Linked DNA regions of Drosophila melanogaster. The protein of the gene in region 2 interacts with the protein of the main gene of each other region in a pairwise test. Each region holds a gene or a part of one and is shown on either strand. Other genes may lie near its edges. The genes, in order: Taf10, Taf3 and Taf10b.

Evidence for each region.
Region 1: the proteins of Taf3 (region 2) and Taf10 interact in a two-hybrid assay, tested with the Drosophila melanogaster proteins (one study listed by BioGRID).
Region 3: the proteins of Taf3 (region 2) and Taf10b interact in a two-hybrid assay, tested with the Drosophila melanogaster proteins (one study listed by BioGRID).

What each region holds. Positions count from the first base shown.
Region 1 is NT_033779.5:2,764,666-2,769,112, reverse strand, and holds Taf10 (TBP-associated factor 10), read right to left. Parts: upstream 1,224-4,447; 5' UTR 1,133-1,223; coding exon 887-1,132; intron 828-886; coding exon 570-827; 3' UTR 501-569; downstream 1-500. Other genes in the region: colt (congested-like trachea), read left to right, coding at 1-468; Taf10b (TBP-associated factor 10b), read left to right, coding at 1,336-1,776; aph-1 (anterior pharynx defective 1), read right to left, coding at 2,023-2,346, 2,406-2,798; Snx21 (sorting nexin 21), read left to right, coding at 3,611-3,617, 3,686-3,829, 3,915-4,447. UniProt on the Drosophila melanogaster protein: TFIID is a multimeric protein complex that plays a central role in mediating promoter responses to various activators and repressors.
Region 2 is NC_004353.4:460,145-469,627, forward strand, and holds the start of Taf3 (TBP-associated factor 3), read right to left. Parts: upstream 6,685-9,483; 5' UTR 6,526-6,684; coding exon 6,357-6,525; intron 5,172-6,356; coding exon 4,653-5,171; intron 4,597-4,652; coding exon 2,911-4,596; intron 2,358-2,910; coding exon 2,244-2,357; intron 2,185-2,243; coding exon 1,361-2,184; intron 1,270-1,360; exon of another isoform or gene 904-1,269; coding exon 570-903; exon of another isoform or gene 513-569; coding exon 59-512; exon of another isoform or gene 1-58. Other genes in the region: CG33941 (uncharacterized protein), read left to right, coding at 7,707-7,850, 9,013-9,186.
Region 3 is NT_033779.5:2,766,786-2,770,998, forward strand, and holds Taf10b (TBP-associated factor 10b), read right to left. Parts: upstream 1,061-4,213; 5' UTR 993-1,060; coding exon 552-992; 3' UTR 501-551; downstream 1-500. Other genes in the region: aph-1 (anterior pharynx defective 1), read left to right, coding at 1-305; Taf10 (TBP-associated factor 10), read left to right, coding at 1,196-1,441, 1,501-1,758; colt (congested-like trachea), read right to left, coding at 1,860-2,780; HINT1 (histidine triad nucleotide binding protein 1), read left to right, coding at 3,366-3,406, 3,474-3,615, 3,675-3,944; CG15399 (uncharacterized protein), read right to left, coding at 4,153-4,213. UniProt on the Drosophila melanogaster protein: TFIID is a multimeric protein complex that plays a central role in mediating promoter responses to various activators and repressors.

The DNA.
Region 1 (4,447 bases), on a different chromosome or scaffold from region 2:
GAGCGCAAGTACAACGGCATGATCGACTGCGCCGGCAAGCTATACAAGGAGGGTGGACTTCGCAGCGTTTTCAAGGGCAGCTGCGCCACAATGCTCAGGGATTTGCCCGCCAACGGGCTGTACTTCCTGGTCTACGAGGCGCTGCAGGATGTGGCCAAGTCGAAGTCAGAGACGGGACAAATCAGTACTGCCTCAACGATTTTCGCAGGTGGAGTGGCGGGCATGGCCTACTGGATTCTGGGCATGCCAGCCGACGTGTTAAAGAGCCGCCTACAATCGGCTCCCGAAGGCACCTACAAGCACGGCATACGCAGTGTCTTCAAGGATCTGATTGTCAAGGATGGACCTCTGGCCTTGTACCGCGGCGTGACGCCCATCATGCTCCGAGCCTTCCCAGCCAACGCTGCCTGCTTCTTCGGCATTGAGTTGGCTAACAAATTCTTTAACATCGTAGCTCCAAATTTCTAGTTTGTCTAATAAAGAAAGTGCCTCGCTAAAATGTTTTTACAACTTGAAGAAAACTAGCTATATTTGTGTGCCCAATTCAAAACTTTAGAGCTTAACTAAATCTAAACGAAATACTGCGGCTTGCGCATGGTGATGCCGTGGTCCGCGAGTGCCGGCACCAGGTCCTCCATGGCCAGCGTGTACTTCCTGTCCTTGGGGTTTTTCTTGTCCTTGCTGGAACTGTGTCCGCTGGAATGCTGGATGTTCGTGGTGCGCGTCTTGCAGTGCTGCAGTGCGTCGTTGGCAATATCCGAGATGAACTTCTGCGCGGACACCGAGACGAGGCGCACTATCTTGGGGTCCACTGTGCAGAAGCCAGCCTGCAGATTTAATCCAATATTAGAAATGCTACAAAGAATAGTTTCCGGTATATAGCTACCGTTTTCAAGATGTGCATGGTGAGGGCGTCTGGTATGGTGGGCGAGTAGTCCTCCAGCTGCTTTATCAGCTCATCCATCTCCGATTCCTCCGTCGTCAGAGGAACCTCCTCCACGTCCGGTTGCTCCTCGTCGGAATGCAGTTCGGACTGCATTAGTGGCGAGTCTATATCCTCCTCCTCGGTGTCCGTGGCCGATGTTACGGATTCTGCGGGTGTAACACTGATGTCCTCGCCATCGGAAGCCATTGTTTTCCACTTTTTAATTGTTTATTTCCAGAAATTTGTTATCTCAGCTGGCGTGTATATGTGTGTATGTTTATATTGTAATCGATGACGAACCGTAAGAAGAATCGATAGCACTGGCAGCAACAATACGGAATAATTCGATAACTAGCATCTCCCATCACTACGTCTGCACTGTGTTTAATTTGTATTGTACACTTTTTTCGATGGTGGGCTCCAATTTCGGAATTATTTACCACAACAGCGCCGGTGGCGCAAGCAGTCATGGACAATCCTCGGGAGGAGGTGGCGGTGGAGATCGGGATAGGACCACACCATCTTCGCATCTCAGCGACTTCATGTCGCAGCTGGAAGATTATACTCCATTGATTCCGGATGCGGTCACCTCGCACTATCTCAACATGGGAGGCTTTCAGTCGGACGACAAGCGCATCGTTCGGCTGATCAGCCTAGCCGCCCAGAAGTACATGTCCGACATCATCGACGATGCACTGCAGCACTCCAAGGCGCGCACCCATATGCAAACCACCAATACACCGGGAGGATCGAAGGCCAAGGACCGCAAGTTCACCTTGACCATGGAGGATCTGCAGCCGGCTTTGGCCGACTACGGTATTAATGTTAGGAAAGTGGACTATAGTCAGTAGATAATGGCATGCATTGTAGTAGTTTTTTTCTCATTAAAAATAATGTATCTTAAGATCTGTGTTTTGGGAATTTATTGCGAAAGACCTTGGGATCTTAATGCATTCTCATTCTTTCAAGAAATCCATTTAGTAAAGGGATTTAAGTCCATAGAATGCGTAACTAATCGAGCATATACAAGGTAATTTGTTTTTTTTTATAATGTTATACAAAAGCTATTAACTAGGCGGTTAATACTAGGAGTATGTTTACTGGCATGTTATGAATTTTCTGAAACTGCGAGATGTTCCTCCAGCCACCCGGAAGGCCAGGACTCCCGTAAGTATGGTGACCAAGTAGTTTATCAGCAGAGTGGTCGTGTAAAGCTCATTGGCATTGAGCAGAGTTATCAGGGAGACGAACAGGTGGCTGAAAACCACATAGCCTATGTGGATATAGTTGTTTGTGTCGAATGCGTTGAAGAAAATAACGCTCCAGAAGGTGTGCAGCAGGATAATCGACAACGCCTGGGCAGCCGAGGTGACGAAGAATAGCTCAGTTCCGCCCTTCAAGCCCATGGTGCCGGGACCACTCTAAAAACCAAAAGATCTGTCATTGCTCGGAGCACATTACGCACCTTTGCTGCACTCACCATATCAGCCAGCACATTGACCAGTGCAAACATCCCGGATATAATGCCGAATCCCAAGCCGGAGACATAGGCCAGGATGTGCTTGTTGTCCGTCACTCGCGTGTCCTCCGCCACGGCGTGCAATCCCTGCTCCGTGCTGCGCAGTATCCGGTAGATGATGTACCGGAAGGCTTCCTGGAAGCACACCGAGAAGACCACGCCAAATGCCAGGAACTCCTTCAGCGGAATCAGGGCATACCACAGGGAAGAGATCAGCAGGGAAAGCAGCCAGAAGAATGCCGCCGCAATCAGAATGATGATCCGCACTGGATCATTGGCGATGGTGAAGACGAACAAGGCGAAGGGCGGTCCGAAGGCGATGAAGGTGCAGCCAAAGAACTCGGGCAACGTCATCTTGTCTTTGTATTATTACTGTTTTTTCTTTTGCTCTGTGGGTGTTTTGGTTTACTTGGGAAGAGGAAGCAGAGACTCGCATAGAGTTGCCAGACTTTTGCAGTGCCATTCGGGCTGCCACACTGTACGTTTTAGTAGTGTACATACCCTACACAGATGAGTACATTAGCTTGTGCGTCACGCAAAAGTATACAAATTATTTAAACTGCGAGAATTATCCAAACAAATGGGAATCTTTTAATCTTAACTTAATTGCCTAATTACCTATCCTTTGCTTTAATTTGTATATAAAAACCAAATCCAGCCTTTAAAAGTAATATCTACTGAACTACAGAAAGGGTATATTAGGACCGCTTTTGAAGATACATTTTTGAAAGCTGCCAGACTGCAGAGCACTAATGTCTTCATACCCTACTATATAAAGTCTGTTAATTCAAAAATAACTTGTTGCTAAAGTACACGATATGTATTAGAGCTCATAAAAATTGTAGCCTACTAAATCATTATACAATTTATAGAAATATTTAATATTATTCAAAAATTTAGAATATAGTTATTCTAAATGTTCCCTAAGAGCCATACCCGCGTAGGGTGTTACAGAGGCCGCCTATGCGGGATTCACACGCACAAAACAAAGGCCTCCGTCCCACTTGCAATGTTTTTGTTTGGGGCGGAATTAGTCACTGTAAATTGACTCAACAACTATGCCAACCGCATAATCCGCCGTAAACCAGAAGCGAATTGCAAGTGCCCAGCTGCGGATCGAAAACAGCAGCCCAGCGAGAAATCACAAAGAGATTCATAGAACCCGTATGCCCAGTGAGCACAGTGAAACCTCCAATTAGCAGTTCGTCGTTCATTTGGTTTCGTTTTTTCTTTTACCCCAGTTCACGCCGTGATGGCCAAGCGCCTGCACCACCAGCCTACCTTCGATGGGGATCCACCCGGTCCGGATGAGCTGGACAGTCCAGCCATCGAGGCGGCGGCCCTCGACATTCCCCCTCCCGAATCCGATAAGGCGCTCCAAAAAGGTTTGTGTAACCATTATCTCACACTCGCAAAATATGTAGGTACAGTGGATAATCTCTAAGGCGAATATTGTCTGTATCTTCTTAGGTGTCTGGGAGCGAGCCACAAGTGCTGAGTATAAGCCGACCACGGATGGGAGCACCGTGCTCCGCTTTGACATCTTGCTGGCCCACATAATGCCGCCCGATGGCGAGGATGTGAAGATCAAGCGGTTCGTGGTCTATGAGCTCACTGTTAAGCAGGATGGAGCCACGGAGGACACTCAGCCGGCAAAGATTGAGCGCCGATACACCGACTTTCGGGAGCTTTATCTGGGCCTTAAGCGGCAGCATCCGGCGGAGATGGCCAACAAGTACTTCCCAGCCAAGGTCCTGATGGGTAACTTCAAGTCCGAGCTGATCGGCGAACGGAGTGCAGCCTTCGAGGCATTCCTCACGTATGTGGCAAGCCAGGCGATGCTCCGGGACTCGGAGTACTTCCTGCGCTTCCTGCAGCACGACGAACTGACCAGGGCGTGCCAGTTTCTGGATGAGCGGCGTAACGAAATGGCCATACCTATTCTGGAGAACTGTTTCCGCTTGCTGAACAAGATATACATGAATCGATCGAGGCCGGTGCTT
Region 2 (9,483 bases):
AAGTAAAAGTTTTTTTTTAAGTAAATTGTAGTATACAGTTGGTTCAGCACAATTATACCAATGATACCAAGCGTCGCAGCCGTCACAACCAATCATAGCTGATCCATCGTCGACCTTTCCACAAGCGGGGCAAATCCAAATGCGGTTACCCTCAGCGTCAACATATGACGATGGACGACTTGATTCAGCAATTTGCATTGCATTTGCATTTTCCTCGGATGTATTTGGTGGAGAACTACATAATCCACTTTTTGACACTGTTCCTGTACTGTTGCACATTGCTGGTACAAAGTTGTTCATTATCGTATGAGGCGCCAACATCAATTGTTGTGGTAACAAAACTGAACTAGCCGAAAGCGTGGAAGAGGCAGTATTACTGTTATTAGGGTTTGATAACCACCCTGCAGAATTAGATGAGGTTTGACTAACAGGAAGTTGCACGGCGCGCACAGCTACTGGGGAAGGTACAGGCAACACGGCCGTAGAACTGTTTCCTAAATGCAGTGTTTCAGCTGGAATAACAGTTATTTTAAAATGTATATAAATTATCGAATAATAACTTCGCCTACATTGTTTGTTCTTAGGCGGGCCGGTAACCAATGGAGAAAAACGAGCAAGCTCCGGAGAATTATCCCGTTCACGCTTCTTATTTTCTGAAGACAAAATCGTGGTTTGCTTTAGTTTCCCTGCATCTGTCATCTCCTTTTCTGAAGACGAAAATAATGTAGATTTTCCACTAAGTTTTAGTGTTAGTTTTGGTATTTGATTTGGAGATATTCCACTTGTGGCGGCACCTAACGATGGATTTATTGTCATGGAACTTGATTTCAATACAGGTTCATCGTTGTTAGCTAAAGGCACCTTGTCAAATTCTTCTGTGTCATCTGGTATATGGACTAAAATCTAAAATAAGAATTGATTAAACTATAAATTTAACTTTAAAAGATTTTGCTGAGATATGTGTATAGACTAAAATAAAATTTGTAAGAACTAAAAATATAACTTTAAAAGATTTGGCTGCTTTACATGTTTATGTAGGATTAAGATGTTTTTGTACCTATACCAAGCTGTAGGCTTCGATGTTATAATTAGTCACAACAGTCTATATAAGTATTAATACAAATTTGGAACATAATGTATAATGTATAATGCATAATGCATAATTTAATGTTATTATACGGAATATGTTCACAGAATTCATGATTTTAAAAATGTTTCCCACATAACTTGCTGTTTTCAAATGAGTTTGTGTACGTACTTATCGCAAAGGTTGCTTATCAGCTCCGGCGTATCTACATATCTGATCCAAATACCACAACACGAACACCTATTTTTTTATAAATAAAGAATTGACACAAACCTGCTTATCTTTATCCTTTTTCTTTTCTTTTTTTTGCCTTTTATCATTGGCCTTTATTTTCCGGTCGGATTTGAAAGATGGTAAGCCAATCTGATCCGCTTTCTTTGATTTGTCCTTTTTCTCTTTCTTTTTTTTATTTTTCCCTTCTTTAACCTTTTTTAGCTTTTTGTGATGTTTCCGCATTTTCGGTTCCAACGACGTTAATCCAGTTGGTGTTATTGTAATATCTTCGTAGTTAGAAAAGGTAGAAAAAATATTGTGCTCTTCTGAAATTTTGATTTGATTCGGTATGGTTCCACCTAAGCTACTGAATGGTACTATTTTGGAGGAATATTCCGAATCACTCACTCTCGACAGAGGAATAAGATCTGCTCCCCCAGCTAAACTGAATTTGTCACCTCCCATAAAATTAGGCAAGTTAAATTGTGGAAATGATGAATGTGAAGCTGGCGTGTGGGGTACGCTTTTTACATCGGGAAAACTCTGTTTAACAAGTTTTTTAAATTTTTTAAGTGGTTCGTTAGAGCTTAGAGACACAATATTCCTTAGATCCATTTTGGATTTTTCTTCACCATTAGATGCAGCTGACGTAAACGAGGAGGGATTTAGTTCTGCGAAGCTGGTTTTAACATAAGTTGGTGATGATATTGGGGTTTTTCTTTGAACCATCTGCCTGTTGTGCATTGATTCATCTGAATCATCTGAAACCTCTATTGGATCATCAGGATTTCCAGAAGCCTCCAAAAGCGGTTTCGTGTTTATTTTGCTTGTAGCCTGTGCAGATGGGTTTTCCAATATTGTGCTGGCACAAGATACGCTTTTACCTACAGATATAAGTAATAAGTTATTTTTAAATTACAAATATATTTACCGTTAAACTTACACTCGGCGAATTTCATTGAGTCAGGTACTAATGGAGCAACATTGCAGTAGTTTCGATCCATTTGCAAGTCAGTTTGCGTGGAAGATCGGCTCAGAAATTGATCAGAATCAGTAACTAAAAATTATTTTTTCTAATCATTATAAATATTTAAATATTTTGGTCGACAAATAATTCACATATTGTAGGTAGGTACGTATTGTCAATATAAAAAAAAAATTTGAGCTCCTCCAAATATCTAGTTTATGACAAACGCAAATATTTCATACTAACCCATCTAGAAGCTTCCCAATACCACTTCTTGAGTGTGTACCTATACCTATTTTCTACATTCAACGGTTCAATGATTAGTTTCAGATTAGTATTTTTGCTGTAATGAATTAAGATATTGCCGAGACTTTTATGTAAGCAATATATTCTTCGAGCTGTGATACTCGAACTGGTATGGTAAAGTAAAGTTTGGGTCAACAAACTTCAGCTGGGTTTATGTCTCTAGAATCTTTATGCTTAATCTCAACCTACTAGCTTTTTATAGTTCATGAGATCTCGACGTTCATACGGACGGACAGGACAGGATCAGATCCACTCGGCTATTGATCCTGGTCACGAAAATATATACTACGTATATATACTACGAGCAATGCGTATAAAAATAACTCATTTGACGTACCAGGAGAATCCTTAATTGGTGGACATCGAACAGTATCCGCAACTGATTCTTCTGGTCCAGGATAATCTATGAACGGCGAAATAGGTATTCTGTTACCGTGATTCCCGAAGCCAACTAAACCAGTGACTGCAGGAAAAAGCCCAGGTCCAGTAGGAATAAGACCAGGTCGTGGTGGAAATTGCAATAAAGGAAGCAACGGAACCATTCCTGTTTGAATTCCAGGGTAAATTGATGCATTTGACAAAGCATTGGATATAGTCACAAATTTATCTGAACATTGTACATCATTATTTTGTTTTGTGGGTCGAATAGAATTATGTAGTGTTGATGCCTTTTCAGGAGAACAGCTCTTGTCTAATTGCATTACATTTTCTGGTAATGATTTGTACTTTTTTCTGTCCTTTTTTTCTTTTGCATACAGGTTTGACAAAAAATTATTCGAGGGCTGTTCGGTATTACACAAGTTGAGAGGTTCTGTTGGCGGGGAGACGTTTAAAGAACTTTGGGTTATTATCATTGGAGATGATGATAGAGGCAGTGTAATAGCTTGGCTTGACTTTTTCCGTTCGACCTTATTAATTAAAGGTTGCGATACAACATTTGTTTGTTTTATTACATTTTTTCCTCCAGGTTTGCGACCTCGCTTTTTTGGCTTTGGCGAATCAATAATTGACATTTCAACGCCTGCTTTAGTTAAAGGTATAGTTCCATCGAATATATTGCAAGGGTTGATTTTCATACTCGGAACGTTTTTGTTTTCAGAATTTAGACCAAGTGAAGGTGTAGGAGTTATAGTAGTCCCCGATGGAAGACTAATTAATGCTGAAGGGGTCATTGTGCTTCCAAATACAGATACCCCGGTTCCAGGAGGTACTAAAGTCGCCCCAATATCTGGACGTGGAGTACGTGGCTTAGAAATTTTCTTAAAAATGTCCAATTTACTTCGTTCTGGTTCTGATCCACTTTTTTTTTCTGCCAATAGCACTTGCGTTTGTTGAATTACAGATGGCTGCACTGGATAAATTGAATTTCGAAAATTATTTTCAATCTGGCTTGTTACTGTTGGCGGCTGACTAGGGATATCAGCTTGTAAAGCATTTTCATTTGAGTTAGCTTTTATGGCAAGGCCGCTCGTAGTTTGAGAATTCTGCAAAAAGTGTTTTTCGTCGATGTCCAGTTGAAGATCATTTTGCTTAAGTTTGGACTGCTTCTTAAATATTTTTTCTAAATGTTTTTTATTTGGATCGAAGGATCCGCGGTTAAATTTTTTTTTTAACTTTTTCATGTTTTGTATTTGATTAATTGAGCTGTCTCTTTGGTTCTTTGAGGTTTGTTTATACATTTTTAAAGCTTTTCTCTGTGACTTTTCCTGAGCTTTTTCAAACGGATTAGTTAGAAGTTCGCTTTGACCGGGTTCGCATATTAAATCATGTTTCTGTTTTCTATTCTTCTTAGGTGTTGTAACAGTTAGCATCGTATGGTTGTTAGACGCATATATTATTGAAGACTCTGAATGTCCACTTGTCAATAATGCAGCATTTTGTTTGAAGATTTTAGTTTCTGAGGGAATGATTTTTCGTGGATTTACTGTTTTGTCTCTGTCAGAAAGCGCCAGTTGTGGAGATTTTTGTAACGAATTTACAATTATCGTCGGTGAAAAGGGTGCATCCAAACCTAAAAATTTTTCTATAAACACCGATACATGAAAATTTATTAAGCTGTGGTATAAGGATAGGTCGTACCAACTATATCCGGTATGATATCTTCGGGGAGCTTGCCTTCAATAGCTGGACTTATGAATCCCCCTGTTGTCATTACCACGCTGCTCATTTCGCGGACTGAGCTCCCAACGTCCAATTCAAAGGCATTCGACCGGAAATTTATCACAGTATTAGGAGAGATAGAATCAATGTGCTTGGCGCCTAACTTATCAGCTGCGTTTGTTGAACTATACTCTGCTTTTGAACAAAACTCTTGCTTTTCCGAAAATTCCTTTTGAACATCGGCTGGAATTTCACGAAGTTCGGGGTCCTGCATTGGTGGCAAGTATTCAAATATGTAGACAGGTCGCGTTAGAGTTTCAGCGCTTCCAGGCTTAAGGAAGTTCATGTTTACAGATTTTCCAATGGGAAACTGTGGTACATCCCGGATGAATCCAACAGGCTCGACATTACCTATGTAGTCCAATAGTTCTTGAACATTGATGCTGAGATTTTTTATACTTAAGCGTGCATCCTTAAGGTTCGGCTCTATCCGATTTGCTAAATTAGTAATATATATACTTGTCAATTAATATTTTTATAAATTTTATCCAAATAAACAAAGCATTTTTGATTTTTTGTTTGGTTTTAATAAGATTTTTTTGAACTCATATAAATAACGTTATTAAGTAACATACCAAGCAAAATTAAAAAGAAAATATAAGAGAACGCTTTAGTCGAGTTCCTCAACTATTTATTTTTATTTCTGTTCCGGTGGTTACAAGGAAGATATATCTTAATCTAAGATATATCTTAATCTAAAATATATCTTAATCTAAGATATATCTTAATCTAAGATATATATAAATCAAAGATTTATTGTTTTTTTTTTTTTGGTGTTTACAAGACAATTAATGAAATAATAATTTGCAAAAAATACAATCTACATGCCTATTGAGGTTTCATAATCCCCAATCGAGACCCCGGCAGTCCCACAATTCATCGCTCCTTAAAAACATCCCAAGATCATCGGTTTCGCCCACAGTACCAACTGCTTTGGCTGCACAGCCACAAGCAGGGAATCAGCAATAAATTATGGATCTTTTATTTCCAGCCGAATGCTAAGCTGACGCTCTAAGTCGCCGAGCACATAAGTTTCGTAAGAAACTTTAAATTTTTAATGCGCATCGGAACTAGAGAAATTATATACTGATGTAGGTGAAAGGGACTGGGCGAGGAAAAGGGAAATAACAATAAAAGAAAGAAATAAATTAAAAGATTACTTTTCTAAGAGGCACGCTTCCTTTTTCGCGGATAACTGGGACTAGATTTATGCGAGTAGCAGGCGCGAGCTTAATCAGGAAATTCCAATGGCAATGGATTCATTTTACACGCAACAACACGTACTACTCGCAGAAGCGATGTACATTTTTCGTAATACATTTCTGTACACATTATACTAATATATTTTACTTTAAGGTTAAACGGACAGGTTGACCGGTATTCTAACGCAACTGAAAGCAAAATGCCCTAACTCCAAACAAAATTGTTTTAATGATAAATAATGATTTATTAATGATAGTCTGATGGAACTGCAGGGATGATAAGTTATACATTTATGTACATGTACATATATGTCACATACTTTTTATTGAATCTCTTATTCTACAAGTAACGACTATAACTACTCAGGCTTTGTTGTATTTCATGATCGGTTCCGTTGATTTGAGGGTCTATACCACTTACCGTGTTCCATATGTCTATGCATGTCTCGAGCGAACTCCTGTACAAACTTCTGCAATATGTCTTGCAACAACTCCAAGGGTGCACTTAGAGTGCAGCTGTAACCAATAGTTTGCGTTATCTGCGCAACGACAACAAGGGCCAAATCTGAAGCGTATCTGTCTGCCATCATGTTCTTTCATGAGGTACACCTTCTTTAGAAAACCTTGGAAATGCTGTGAATAGGTTTAACCGTCCCACGAACTTCCTCTTGTTATTAAAATTAATTGACTTGGTGTCTACACCTTTATTAGACGAACTACAATCTGTGGATGTTTAGTTAACGATAACTTATCGATTTTGCCTTTGATGGGAAATATATCGATATTTGGGGTATGCCAAAAGTGGTAATCATGGGGTTCAATCAAATTCAATTGATTGACCAACATAAACAAACTGCAATTTTTTATGTGGTTTGAAAGTGGTTATAAGGGCAGATAAAAGGTTTGCTTTCGGTATGTTCGCTGTTAGTGTTCGAATAAGACACAAATTTTGAAAATAAGACGAAAAAGTTTTCTAATCCTTCTATTCTTTAAAATAGATATTGAACGATGGAAATATAATTAGAGCTTGTTTAATAATAGAGCGCTTGAATGCAGAGTGAAACGAGAGTCTTGTGTTGTTACCCGTAAAAATGTTTTAGTTTTACTACTACTATTACTATTATTACTACGATTACTTACTACAAATTTTAACAGCATCTAATGTTATGTTTATTGTGGAAAGAAAGTAATGCCCAGAACAGCTATGAAATTACCGAATAAATAATAATATAATTATAAATATAAATAATATATATAAATATAAATTTAATAAAATAACATTAAGCCTAAAATCGCTTCAAAAATATCATGTGAACTATATCCCAAACATGTGTATATATGCAGGTAATTTAGTGGAAAGAGGGTATAATGTATAATGACACAAAACTACTGATAGAATACTAGTTATATTTTCGATCAGTTTAGAAGAAACTTATATCTTAAGACATTTATTGGGTTAGGTATTGTTTCCCATATATGTTCTAGTCGAGTATTCACACAAAGAAGCGTGCGACAGATCTTCGGCACTTAATATTTTGTATTTGTAATAATGTAAAATATAAAAATTAACAAATAAAACAACTATATGAACATTTGCATGTGTTGGGTATATGTGTAAGTCTAATAAAAAGTTTTATTCTACTTAAAGCTCAAATCCTTTAAACTTTTCAGCTAGTTATTGAAATACTCAGTATAAATGAGTAAGAAGATCTCCATCAACATTGATCTGACCAACGTTTTACTCCTTTTTTAATCTAATAAGAACTAAAAAATGCAACCATTGAACTCGAGCATTGATAAAGCAAAACATTTTTTCATAGAGAGCGGGATCTTAGGACCCGTTAACTTTAAATATTCTCATGACATGATTCGGAAGACGTCTACCATTCACATTGACGAAACTCTTAAGAATCAGGTAAGGGTGGATAATCTGATTCCCAACGAATACACGTTTACACCTATGTTAACCATAATAGGTGTATAGGTATCGTATTTCCTTACATATACTGAAGATTTCATATGCAGTCGGTCAGTTATCGAGTAACTGGTTAGTCCGTCTGACTATCAATCTGAACGCTGTGATCTCGGGAACAATGAAAACTAGAATATTGATATTAAGCATTAAGACTCAGTCACAGAGTCTGTAAGAGTTTGTTTCATGCCGTTGCGACGCTTGCTCCAACGACGACGCACCCTCAATATTCATACGGTCACAAAAAATCAATCAACCACTAGCAAAAACACGAATACACTTCAGTGCGCAGATTTCTCATTTTGCGCATAATGTACGAGCTCAAAGAAGCTGGAGTCGAAAAAATGGAATTTTTGAAATTTAAAAGCTGGAATCGTTTGCTCATTTGTTGTCTTTATTTGCCCACGTTTGGCCACTCTTTTCAATTTTGAAAAAGTGAATACTTTAGAAAATATGAGACGTTCTAGTTAACCTCGGTATTATTATTTTGACCATCTCTTAAAACTAAATATTATAAAAAAAAACTTTTGCCCAATCAGTATTCTTAGTTTTTATCGTTTGTCCATCCTTTAAAATTAGTTTTTTTCGTTTTCCCATCCTTTAAAATAAGTATTTTGAATTAAAAACGTTTGTCCAACCCTTAAAAATTTTGTTTTTTTGTGTTCCCACCTATTAAAACTAAATTTCTACATATGTATGTAATAATTGTAAGTTGTGGCGCCAATTCGCATGTTTTAGGATCGGCGGACAAATTCACATATGTACTTATATGATGATGATGAACATGTATATACATATCCAAGTTCAAGAAAATTGTGGAAGCGAATGATTATCGTTATGTAAATATTGGAAAAAACACGTAACGGATCGCGATCTATGTACATATGTATGTCTGTACATACATATTAAAAATTGGATTTTCCGACCCCAGCTTCTTTGAGCTGAATGTATGTATGCCTAGTTTCAAATAGATGCGGTTATTCACATTGATTAAAATTTAAAATAAACATGCGAGATACCTATGCATCTCCTATTGTTTTCAAATGTGTACATGAATGCATGTATGTACCCACATATGTATGTATGTATGTCAAACACTTTTTAGATTCGAAAAACATCATTGGGTATGCGATCGAGGGCATTTAGAGAAAATAATTCATTAAACAGTTTCGACGATACCCTTATAAATCTTCAAAACGAAATCTATAACATAAGAGATTCATTAGTCAATGGCGAGACTAAAATTATACTTCTCCGCACTGAAATTGGCAAATTAAAGGTAAGAAATTTTTTTCAATTAAATAGGCCTTTAGGCTATATATTTATTTCATATATAATATTTTTACGTATTTCCTGGGTCATTAAAAACTTCTTAAAAGAATTCATAATTTATTAGTTAAGGACCAACACCAGAAACTTCACATTTACATATAACATCAGCGATATTAAGGATATATACTCTTGATCAATATCAGTGCTACGCCAACTAGTTTTCGAGTTTTGAGGTAGTATTAAGCCGGAATGGCCCGGATCTGCGCATTATATCACATATGTAGCTGCCAAATAGATCTTGGGT
Region 3 (4,213 bases), on a different chromosome or scaffold from region 2:
GCTTGAAGGGCGGAACTGAGCTATTCTTCGTCACCTCGGCTGCCCAGGCGTTGTCGATTATCCTGCTGCACACCTTCTGGAGCGTTATTTTCTTCAACGCATTCGACACAAACAACTATATCCACATAGGCTATGTGGTTTTCAGCCACCTGTTCGTCTCCCTGATAACTCTGCTCAATGCCAATGAGCTTTACACGACCACTCTGCTGATAAACTACTTGGTCACCATACTTACGGGAGTCCTGGCCTTCCGGGTGGCTGGAGGAACATCTCGCAGTTTCAGAAAATTCATAACATGCCAGTAAACATACTCCTAGTATTAACCGCCTAGTTAATAGCTTTTGTATAACATTATAAAAAAAAACAAATTACCTTGTATATGCTCGATTAGTTACGCATTCTATGGACTTAAATCCCTTTACTAAATGGATTTCTTGAAAGAATGAGAATGCATTAAGATCCCAAGGTCTTTCGCAATAAATTCCCAAAACACAGATCTTAAGATACATTATTTTTAATGAGAAAAAAACTACTACAATGCATGCCATTATCTACTGACTATAGTCCACTTTCCTAACATTAATACCGTAGTCGGCCAAAGCCGGCTGCAGATCCTCCATGGTCAAGGTGAACTTGCGGTCCTTGGCCTTCGATCCTCCCGGTGTATTGGTGGTTTGCATATGGGTGCGCGCCTTGGAGTGCTGCAGTGCATCGTCGATGATGTCGGACATGTACTTCTGGGCGGCTAGGCTGATCAGCCGAACGATGCGCTTGTCGTCCGACTGAAAGCCTCCCATGTTGAGATAGTGCGAGGTGACCGCATCCGGAATCAATGGAGTATAATCTTCCAGCTGCGACATGAAGTCGCTGAGATGCGAAGATGGTGTGGTCCTATCCCGATCTCCACCGCCACCTCCTCCCGAGGATTGTCCATGACTGCTTGCGCCACCGGCGCTGTTGTGGTAAATAATTCCGAAATTGGAGCCCACCATCGAAAAAAGTGTACAATACAAATTAAACACAGTGCAGACGTAGTGATGGGAGATGCTAGTTATCGAATTATTCCGTATTGTTGCTGCCAGTGCTATCGATTCTTCTTACGGTTCGTCATCGATTACAATATAAACATACACACATATACACGCCAGCTGAGATAACAAATTTCTGGAAATAAACAATTAAAAAGTGGAAAACAATGGCTTCCGATGGCGAGGACATCAGTGTTACACCCGCAGAATCCGTAACATCGGCCACGGACACCGAGGAGGAGGATATAGACTCGCCACTAATGCAGTCCGAACTGCATTCCGACGAGGAGCAACCGGACGTGGAGGAGGTTCCTCTGACGACGGAGGAATCGGAGATGGATGAGCTGATAAAGCAGCTGGAGGACTACTCGCCCACCATACCAGACGCCCTCACCATGCACATCTTGAAAACGGTAGCTATATACCGGAAACTATTCTTTGTAGCATTTCTAATATTGGATTAAATCTGCAGGCTGGCTTCTGCACAGTGGACCCCAAGATAGTGCGCCTCGTCTCGGTGTCCGCGCAGAAGTTCATCTCGGATATTGCCAACGACGCACTGCAGCACTGCAAGACGCGCACCACGAACATCCAGCATTCCAGCGGACACAGTTCCAGCAAGGACAAGAAAAACCCCAAGGACAGGAAGTACACGCTGGCCATGGAGGACCTGGTGCCGGCACTCGCGGACCACGGCATCACCATGCGCAAGCCGCAGTATTTCGTTTAGATTTAGTTAAGCTCTAAAGTTTTGAATTGGGCACACAAATATAGCTAGTTTTCTTCAAGTTGTAAAAACATTTTAGCGAGGCACTTTCTTTATTAGACAAACTAGAAATTTGGAGCTACGATGTTAAAGAATTTGTTAGCCAACTCAATGCCGAAGAAGCAGGCAGCGTTGGCTGGGAAGGCTCGGAGCATGATGGGCGTCACGCCGCGGTACAAGGCCAGAGGTCCATCCTTGACAATCAGATCCTTGAAGACACTGCGTATGCCGTGCTTGTAGGTGCCTTCGGGAGCCGATTGTAGGCGGCTCTTTAACACGTCGGCTGGCATGCCCAGAATCCAGTAGGCCATGCCCGCCACTCCACCTGCGAAAATCGTTGAGGCAGTACTGATTTGTCCCGTCTCTGACTTCGACTTGGCCACATCCTGCAGCGCCTCGTAGACCAGGAAGTACAGCCCGTTGGCGGGCAAATCCCTGAGCATTGTGGCGCAGCTGCCCTTGAAAACGCTGCGAAGTCCACCCTCCTTGTATAGCTTGCCGGCGCAGTCGATCATGCCGTTGTACTTGCGCTCGCCACCCTGACCCTGCTGCGTCTGCAGGAGCACCTTGATGCGCTCGCCGGGTGCCATTATCAGGGTGGAGAACAGGCCGGAGAAGGAGCCGGCCACGAAGATTTGCGGGTAGGTCAGCTTGGCGTCCTCGCCGCGCTGCTGCAGCCGCTTGCCCAGCGCATAGCCGGCGAAGCACATCGCAAAGATCGGAGCAACGCCCGTCAACGGTGCGGACATGCCCTTGTACAGACCGCGGACGCCCTCATTTTTGATCGTCTTGGCCGCACAGTCGAAGGTGCCGCGGTACAGGGGCTGCTCACCCGGCGCCGGACGCGGCATGGTCTGCAGGCGCACCTTGATGGTGTCCAGCGGATGGCCAGAGAGCACATTGCAGATCCCACCGAATCCGCCGGTCAGGAAGGACTTCACTGGATTCGCTTTGCGCTCCGTGGACACGTTCTCCGTGGTGGTCATGGCTACAGGTTGCTATTGCTCTGCTCCTCCTTCACCTTCACCTTAACGGCCGGCAGCTGCTCGATTTCGGAACTAGTGTTGCTGTTTTCTGGCAAGTCAAGTGGATTATTGGAATTTGCACCTAGCCGATAGTTTCGAACTAATCTTGAGCATTCTATAGCGATAAGGAGCGCGGCAACATTACGTCACAAGCTGTTGATGTTCCCACAGATGCAGTGATTCTCCAGATAAAGATACTGGACTGCACTGATATCACAAAAATATTGCCACGGAGCAACTTGATCTTGCGATCAAAAGAGTAGTTTTTCTGGTTTGAAGATCTCTATGATTTCCATATGTTGCAGCAGGGTTCAAAGTCCACCTATGTGCACCTCCTTTGAATTGAATTTTCACTAGCCCTACAGCCCTAATTAATTAAAGCGATCTATGGCACTAAATACTTTTGCATTTCCCTGTAATAATTTGTTGATGTTTTTTTTAAATAATAAATAACATTATAGCGACGCAGGTGTGAGAGCATTCGAATACCCTAAATTTGCCGCTCTGTGTGAATTGTCTGAAAACCAAGTTGGCAGCGCTATTTCGATGTTCTTGTCAACCGGCCGGAATTTCTTTCGTGTTTTCAGGTGAGTTCGTGCGAAATTGGCTTAATTATCTAAAGTGCCGCGATTATATACTGTATTTACGCTGCAGCTCTCGCCAAATAGCAAGCTGCAGTGCTAGAATGGCAAGCGAAGTGGAAAAATCGCAAACGGCAGCCGCCAGTGAAGACACCATTTTCGGCAAGATTTTGCGCAAGGAGATCCCATGCAAATTTATCCACGAGGATGATAAAGTGAGATCGCAGTCCATTTGGTTGCTAGAAAAAGATGTTACCTATCGAATCTTTCACAGTGCGTTGCCTTCCACGATGTGGCGCCCCAGGCACCAACCCACTTCCTCGTGATTCCTCGCAAGCCAATTGCCCAACTCTCGCTAGCCGAGGATGGAGATGCCGATCTGCTGGGACATCTCATGCTGGTGGGCCGCAAGGTGGCCAAGGAGCTCGGCCTCGCGGATGGCTACCGCGTGGTCATCAACAATGGCAAGCACGGCGCCCAGTCAGTTTACCACTTGCATTTGCACTTCCTCGGCGGCCGCCAGATGCAGTGGCCACCAGGATAAGAAGCAGCCGATGGTGCAGCTACCAGATCCAAGATCATTTACACCACAGAGAATTTTTGAAATAAACTATGTGAAATGCTAAAACAAGTTACTTTAAATTCGCCATGTCCATAATTCCTAAAGAAAGCTTCGTTAGAAAAACGTAGTGCTACTTCATTTTTCCATAAATTTTATTAAAAAAATTGATGGGAAACTAAAAAATAAAAGGTCACAAGTGGCGGAAACTTAACAGTGGAAATTGCTCCTTGAACTCGATGACGCGGTTTAGG